Linked DNA regions of Sus scrofa. Each later gene encodes a partner of the first gene's protein in a complex. Links are inferred from orthologs where the notes say so. Each region holds a gene or a part of one and is shown on either strand. Other genes may lie near its edges.

Region 1 (4,177 bases):
CCTGCACTGGGAGTTGAGATTGAGAGGCTTACACTTCAAAGTCCTCACAGCCTCAAAAGATAGAGGAGTTCCCTGGTAGCCTAGTGGTTAAGGACTCAGCAATTCACTGCTGTGATATGGGTTCGATCCTTGGCCTAGGACTTTCTCATGCATGCCCCTTGCTCGGTCAAAAAAATAAAAAGATACATACCACAGGCAAATCTCCATCATCTTCCTCTTCCTCCTTTTCCAGTTTAGTGGTGGAGATAGATGACCAGCTCACGTCATCATCCACAATCCGCATACTAAATGTGGAAAATAAAAAGATCAAAAGAGAAGAATCATTCTTGGTTAACAGCCAACAAACATCTATCTATTGGTTTTAGGCTAAAGCTCAAAATCCTACAAGATCTTATGGTCCATTCTTTGCCAGTATGGCCAACTTCATCTTATACCACTGCCTTCTCGGTTCCCTACTCACTGGTCATCTTCTGCTGTCTAGAATGAGCCAAACTCTTTCCCATATCAGTTTCACAAACTCAATTCCTTCTCTCTGCCTGACCTACTCTTCTCATTCTTTACTGGGAAACTCCTATTCATTCTTAAAATCCTAGCATATATATGACTTCCTTGAGCATACCTTCCTTGACTATTTCCCTTACCATCCCCAACTAAGAACCCCTGCTAGACATTCTTGGAATATTTCTACTTCATTTATCAAAAAGGAAATAAATCAACAAGTTGTGTAATTAGTTGCTTAACGGCTGTATTCCCATTGAACTATAAGTTCCATCAGAATAGGGACTATGCCTCTCTTATTTACAGGGATATCCTGCACCCCTCAACACCTTAGCATAGAGAATATTCAATAAATTTTGTTCCATAGATAAGCTATGGATGAGTCCAAATAATAAAAATAACTGCCATGATGTAAACAGTTATTTGAAAAGCCAAGATCATTAATCACAATCATTTAATATAAATGATACCATTCACTACTACTCTCATTTTAAATATGAAGAAATTGAGGCTTAGCCCAGAAAGTGGCACAGCTAGGACTTAAATATTGATCAGTGTCGCTGCAAAGCTCAAGCTAATTTCACTACATGGCACTTCCTCCAAGGAATCCACACAAGTCAGAGGGGGCTGGAAGACATAAAGGAAGAATAACGGGACAACCAAATCAGGAAAGGAAATGGATTAGTCCCTTGTAGCTATCTGACTTTACTGGGTAGTTTCCTAGAGCTGCCTAATAAAGTACCACAAAACTGGGTGGCTTAAAACAACAGAAATGTATTCTCTCACAGCTCCGGAGGCTTCAAGTCTGAAATCAAGGTATCTGCAAGGCAACGCCTGCCAGGAAGGCTCTAGGGGAAGATCTTTCCTTGACTCATCCAGTATCTGGTAGCTCCTAGTGGCATATGAATCCAGTCCAGTCTCAGCCTCCATCTTCACACAGTAATTTTCCCTCAAAGCCTGTTTTTGTATCCAAATTTTCCTCTTCTTAAAAGGACATCAGTCATATTGGACTTAGCGCCCATCCTAATTCACTATGACCTCATCTTAACTAATTACATCTACAAAGACCCTATTTCTTCTTTTTTTTTTTTCTTCTTTTTGTCTTTTTAGGGCCGCACCTACAGCATATGGAGGTTCCCAGGCTAGGGGTCGAATGGGAGCTGTAGCCCGCCAATGCCACAGCCAGGCAGGATCCGAGCAGCGTCTGCGACCTACACCACCGCTCATGGCAACGCTGGATCCTTAACCCACTGAGCGGGGCCAGGGATCGAACCCACAATTTCATGGATCTTAGCCAGTTCGTTACCGCTGAGCCACTGACAGGAACACCAGACCCTATTTCTAATGTCATACTCTGAGGTCCTGGGTGGTCATAAATTGGAGAGAAGAGGCACTATTCAACCCAGCACGCTGGGCCACGTAATTTTCCTTGTTTGACAAATGGGGTTAACAACAACATCTACTTCATGGTAGCGTTATGAAGCTTAAATAAATTCATGTATATCTAAAGGACTCAGAACGGTGCCTGGCACATGACAAGAACTGTACAAATGTTACTTGGTGGTGGTAGTAGTAGTGGTAGTAGTAAGAATAACAGGAAATGAGCACCAGGTTTCCAACTCAGGACGGGAGTCCTTAGGATTGGAGAAGCGCCCCCCCCCCCCCCGCCCCAGACAGGTTCTGGGCCCTAAATACCCAAGCCCAGAGCCTTTGAATTCGCTCCACCAATACTTTCAGGGTATAATATTCATTCTCTGCGAGAGAAGACGGACTGCTATAAAAGCGGGAAGAGAGTAATGAAAGTTACAGCCTGGCCTGAATACACCCAAGTTACTGCCGAAGCGCGCGAGAAGCGGCCCCGGCCGACTCTGGGCTGAGGCAGGGTCGGGCGAGCAGTCAAAGCCGGGCAGCCCGCGACCCGTCGAGGAAGAGCCGGGCCGAGGGCGGAGCTGGGAAGGCGGGAGGGGGGGGGCAGCCCCGCGGACCCAAGCCGCCAGACCCAACTCACCCCTTGCCGCCAGCCCCGCCAGTCTTCGGCCGCTTTTTGCGACGCTTGCGGCCGGATTCAGGGCCCCCGTCGACACCGGCATCTGCCCCGGACAAGTAACGCTTCAGATACTCGGCCTTGGAGAGCGGCGGAGCTGCCGCCATGGCAGCGGCGAGGGCGGGGAGACGGACGGGCGCTAGGGACAAAATTCTTGAACGCGAAACGAACGGCGAGGACCCTAGGAGGCGCAACCGGGCCCGGAAGTGGCCGAGTATTTGGAGCAGTCCAAGCTGATAGATGAAAGAGAGCGTTTAAGGGCTAATGAGGAATGAGCATATCTCCGGTGCCCAGTCTACATCCCCCCGCCCCCCGATGCGCAACCGTGTTTTTCCTGTTGTCCATCTATCTGCTCATTCAAGCCTTATTGCAGCAACAAGGCTACAACTGCGACTCCAGAGATCTACTTCAGAGTTGCAGCGCATCTAAGTTTGAGTTCTGGTTTCATAACTTCCTAGCTGTACGACCTTGGGCAAATTATTTAACAAAATGGGGATAAAAATCACACCTAAATCAATGGTTGCAATGACTTGAGAGAATATTACCGTGTAAAGTGCTTTGAACAGCATCTGGTACACAGTATGTTAGTTATTTTTATTAGCATGTTTAGATGGAGAGGAATCTGCTTTAATAGGCCTTCAAGAACCACTCAAGAGAGGAAGTCAGGAATTCCAAACCCAGTATAATTGTTCTGAAAAATATGGAGGTTTCTAACCTGTGTAACTTATCCACATTCGGTATTACTGGTTGCCCCTAGCTATCTCTTGTGTGGAAAATCTCCAGTGCAAAGGACTTGGATCTATTTTCAGTATCGTGAAAGAAGCTAGAAAGACTGAATTCTAATACTCAAGTTTGGGGAGAAGACTTTTTCTTGTAAGCATTAAGAGCTTTACTTGAATTATCTCATTTAACCCTCATGTTTCTCAGATAGTTTTATTATCCTTACAGATGAGAAAACTGAAACTTGGAGAAGTTAAGTTGCCCAACTTCACACAGCCAGAATATATGACCCTTGGGAGCAGAGGCCAAAAAGGTGGGGTACAAGAGGTAATACAAAATTTCTGGAAAAAAATTATATCTTACATTCTATGTATCTCATTATATATGTTAAATCACTGTAACTGTTTCAAGGCATTACTCAAGAAGGCATTGTCATACTTTATCACTAAATACATGTATCTTGGGATACATGTTCAGAAAATACTTATATGTAACAAAACAGGTTTGGAGATCACCGCCCTGAAGCAAGAAATTTTAACCTCTGGGCCATACTGACTGGTCACAGCACCGGCCCAGGAAGAAAAGCAGGCTGGGTCTCTTGAGGGCTTGTGAGAAGGGGGCACTGGACTGACAGGGGAATCAATAGCTGCAGGGGACCATAGGTCCCCCACCCACAACCTTGCCTTGGCTTCTAGTCTGCTTTAATGTACCTCAAGCTGGTGTCAGCAGACATGGGGAGTCTCCCACTGCCACTCCAGTGAATATTACTCCTATAGTTCTCTCAACCCCATGCCCTCCTGCCCTCTTCTGTCATCAGTTCTACCTCTACCCATTCCACTCAATACCTACCCTTAGCCTGACAAGACCCAAGCTCTAGTCTTAACACTTCCTCACAGGGCAGTTAAGCAGGACCAA
Region 2 (3,521 bases), on another chromosome or scaffold:
CTGCCTAGGACAAAGTGAAACCATTTTTATTGAACCAGTAGAGGGAGCCAATACACTAATGATGTCTGCATGCCTGCGACTTAAACATGTGGGAATATATTTATGAAGAAGGAGGAAAATAAAATCTTCAGAATCCCTCTTAAAGAAAGCTACTGAAAATTCTATGGAAATGACATTCTCTGATATGATGTTAAATGTGAAAAGGACTAAATAGGGTACTATTCAAAGTAATAGTCCAGGTAAAAACTTTTAAAGTTAACATAACCTCCACTGGGAATCCATCATTAACAAAATAAAACTTTAACTACTAAATGTTATTACCTAGGTGTGTTTCTAAAAATGTAAAAATAGTATCAGATGAGTGACATAGGAGCTCATAATACCATTAATATGATTTTAGAAAAAAAGAAAAATTCAAAGTTAAAACGAATGACTTAAAACACACAACAGAAATACATAGCATTCCATCATTTTTAGAAATAATAAATAAATATCTCAGGGAATATATTTATGAAGGCAACTTTAGATAAGTTGATCATATATATCATAGAAGCCTGAGATAACTGGACACAAACCTTTCCAAAGATGGTATGCTTATTGTTAAGTTCATCTGCTCGACCCAATGTAAAGAAAAACTGGCTGCCGTTATCATGAGGACCAGCATTTGCCATGGCAACCAGTCCTCTCCGATTAAAACGCAACCGTGAGTGGAATTCATCCTGAAGCATTTAAAAAAAAAAAAAAGAACAAAAAAAGATTTAGTGAATGATCTTGGTTATAAGACCCTTCATATTCAGCTAACAAGCAAAGTCCCATACAACTTTTAATCACAAATGTTTAAGTTAACTGATTTTCATATATAACAAAATCTAATATCTACAGTTCCTTCAGTTCTATCAAACTTGACTTCACTAGCTTGTAAGTATCTTCTAAATATACTCAGCCACAAATTTAGCCTATTTTGAAGAAAGCTTCCTCTTTACTGAAAGGGAATGGATTACTAAGACTCACTCCCCTATTCTGCCATCCCTCAAAGTCATCTAAGCTTTCAGAACCTTCTATTTCTCTCCAGAATAACTAGTTTTGAGTCACTGCAGAGTCTTCAACTATTCCCTTCCTAACCTTGATCTAAATGTCATGAAACAATTGTTTTCTTACTTTTCTCACTCAAGGAATCCAGCATGGTTGTGTTACGCATTTTACTGTGTTTGAAAATTCTAAGTTGAATCTTTGAATTGGCACAGGTTTCCATTTGTCAGTTTACAAAACAGCAGAAGCAAGTCATTCTAAGGTGGTTTTCTTGCTATAATGCTACATATTAGTCTCTTAGTTAATAACATTTCTATCAAGATCTCATACTAGACTCATGTCTAATACAGCCATGTTATGTAATCAATGTTTTTCAGAAGAGAAGTTCTTTTCCTTCATAAATTCTTCTCAAGAGATCTGAATTCAAAGGGTCTTAACTCTTGTACATTCTATTAAAAAGGAACTTATTGGGGAGTTCCCGTTGTGGCTAAGCAGTAACGAATCCAATTAGTATTCATGAGGATGTGGGTTCAACCCCTGGCCCTGCTCGGTGGGATCCGGAGATGCCTTGAGCTGTGGTGTAGACCAGAGACACAGCTCAGATCCCGCATTGCTATGGCTTAGGCTAGCAGCTGCAGCTCCAATTCAACCCCCAGCCTGGGAACTTCCATATGTCATGGCGTGGCCCTCAAAAGACCAAAAAAAATAAACTTATTGAAAAATTTACAAAGATAACTTTATTACCTAATCATAACAAGCAAAAAAATATCAATTTAGAAAGGAACTGTCACAAAGAGCTATTCTGTCACACCAAACAACAAAATAAAAGAATGTTTCCTACTGTATGGAGGCTCTATAATGAGAAATCTCAATTTTGTAAAATACAGAATACTCTAACAGTAACATTTAGGACTTTTTTTAAAAAAGCATTTCCTATATTTTTCATGCCACTATCATATGAAAATTAAAGCAAACAGTTCAAGTAGTTTTCAAGAGTCATAAAGCAACCCAGTATAAAATTAAAGGAAACTCCAGATACTCTATCCCATTAGTATCAATGTGAAGTTTTCAAAATTTCACATATTTTATGAGGTACTGATGTTTATTCATTCAGATAATACCACTGCCATCAGATTAAAAAATAACCTAGCTTTAGCTTTTACTTGAACTCACTCTTAATCTTAATATCTTAACTATGACATTAATTCTTTTTCTTTCTAGATCTATGTTGGCAGTTAACAAAGCACTGGCCTATTCTTGATTATCTCTCACACTCTTTTCTAATATTTTCTATGTTGTTTCTTCCTTCTGTTTTCCTTGTGATCTCTTGCTATGAAAGAAATGTTGTGCTACAAAGATGTACCATGTACAATTTAGAATGAATTCAGCTATGGTCTAAATTGTGTCCCCCACAAAATTCCTATGTTGAAGCTCTAACTCCCAATATGACTGAACTGGCGATAGAGCCTGTAAGGAGATGAAAAAGGTTAAGTGACTTCCTAAGGGTGAAGTCCTAATCCATTAGGGCTGCTGCCCTTATAGGAAGAGGAAGAGTCAGCAGAAATCTCTCCCTTCACCGTTTGAGACACAGCAAGGCAGCCATTTGCAAGCCAAGAAGAGAATCTTCACAGGAACTGAATGCCAGCACCTTGATCTTGGACCTCCCAAGCCTCCAGAACTGTGAGAAATAAATTCCTATTGGTTAAGCCACCCAGTCAGAGGTACTCTGTTATAGCATTTCAAGCAGATAATATGGTGTTAAATAAAATGTTTTAAAATAGTATGGCATGGCAGTTCCCATCATGGTACAGTGGAAATGAATCCAACTAGTATCCATGAGGATGAGGGTTCAATCCCTGACCTCGCTCAGTAGGTTAAGGATCCAGTGTTGCTGTGAGCTGTGGTGTAGGTTGCAGGTGCAGCTTGGATCTGGAATTGCTATGGCAATAGCGTAGGCCTGCGGCCACAGCTCCAATGTGACCTCTAGCCTGGGAACCTCCATATGCTGCAGGTGTGGCCTTAAGAACCAAAAAAATAAAAATAAAAAAAGGATGGCATGTGCAATGTTCTAAAAAATATATATATACAGAGCTACAGAGATCAGATACAGTCAAATATCAGGAAATATGTTATATGGTCTTTTGTCTGACATATTTTATTCGCTACCACCTTTAACTCCACCTGAATTTAATCTAGGGTAAAAGGTTGTGATAAGAAAACTTAGAAAGAATGCTTGATGGGGTAAGTCCCCCTCTTATACTATATAATCTTAAATATGTGATAAAATTGATTTTGTGCACGAACATGAAATGCATTTTCTTCTTGTGTGGCATAATCATTTTCAATTAAGCAACCCAGGCTGACTTAAAAATAAATAATAATAAAAATTCACTCTCACCTTGAATGGAGCCCCATAAATAGACTCTCCACCAGTCCCTGTGCCAGTAGGATCTCCCCCTTGGACTATAAAACCAGGTACAACTCTATGAAAT

Evidence for each region. Proteins that work in one complex are often made in the same cells at the same time.
Region 2: BUD13 (region 1) and CWC27 share a complex: the UniProt entries of both Homo sapiens proteins name them as parts of the activated spliceosome. The link is inferred for Sus scrofa from reciprocal best matches to the Homo sapiens genes BUD13 and CWC27.

Annotation. Positions count from the first base shown.
Region 1 is NC_010451.4:44,162,586-44,166,762, forward strand, and holds the start of BUD13 (BUD13 homolog), read right to left. Parts: upstream 2,817-4,177; 5' UTR 2,650-2,816; coding exon 2,507-2,649; intron 285-2,506; coding exon 191-284; intron 1-190. UniProt on the Homo sapiens protein: Involved in pre-mRNA splicing as component of the activated spliceosome. As a component of the minor spliceosome, involved in the splicing of U12-type introns in pre-mRNAs.
Region 2 is NC_010458.4:43,363,444-43,366,964, reverse strand, and holds part of CWC27 (peptidyl-prolyl cis-trans isomerase CWC27 homolog), read right to left. Parts: coding exon 3,428-3,521; intron 720-3,427; coding exon 576-719; intron 1-575. UniProt on the Homo sapiens protein: As part of the spliceosome, plays a role in pre-mRNA splicing. Probable inactive PPIase with no peptidyl-prolyl cis-trans isomerase activity. As a component of the minor spliceosome, involved in the splicing of U12-type introns in pre-mRNAs.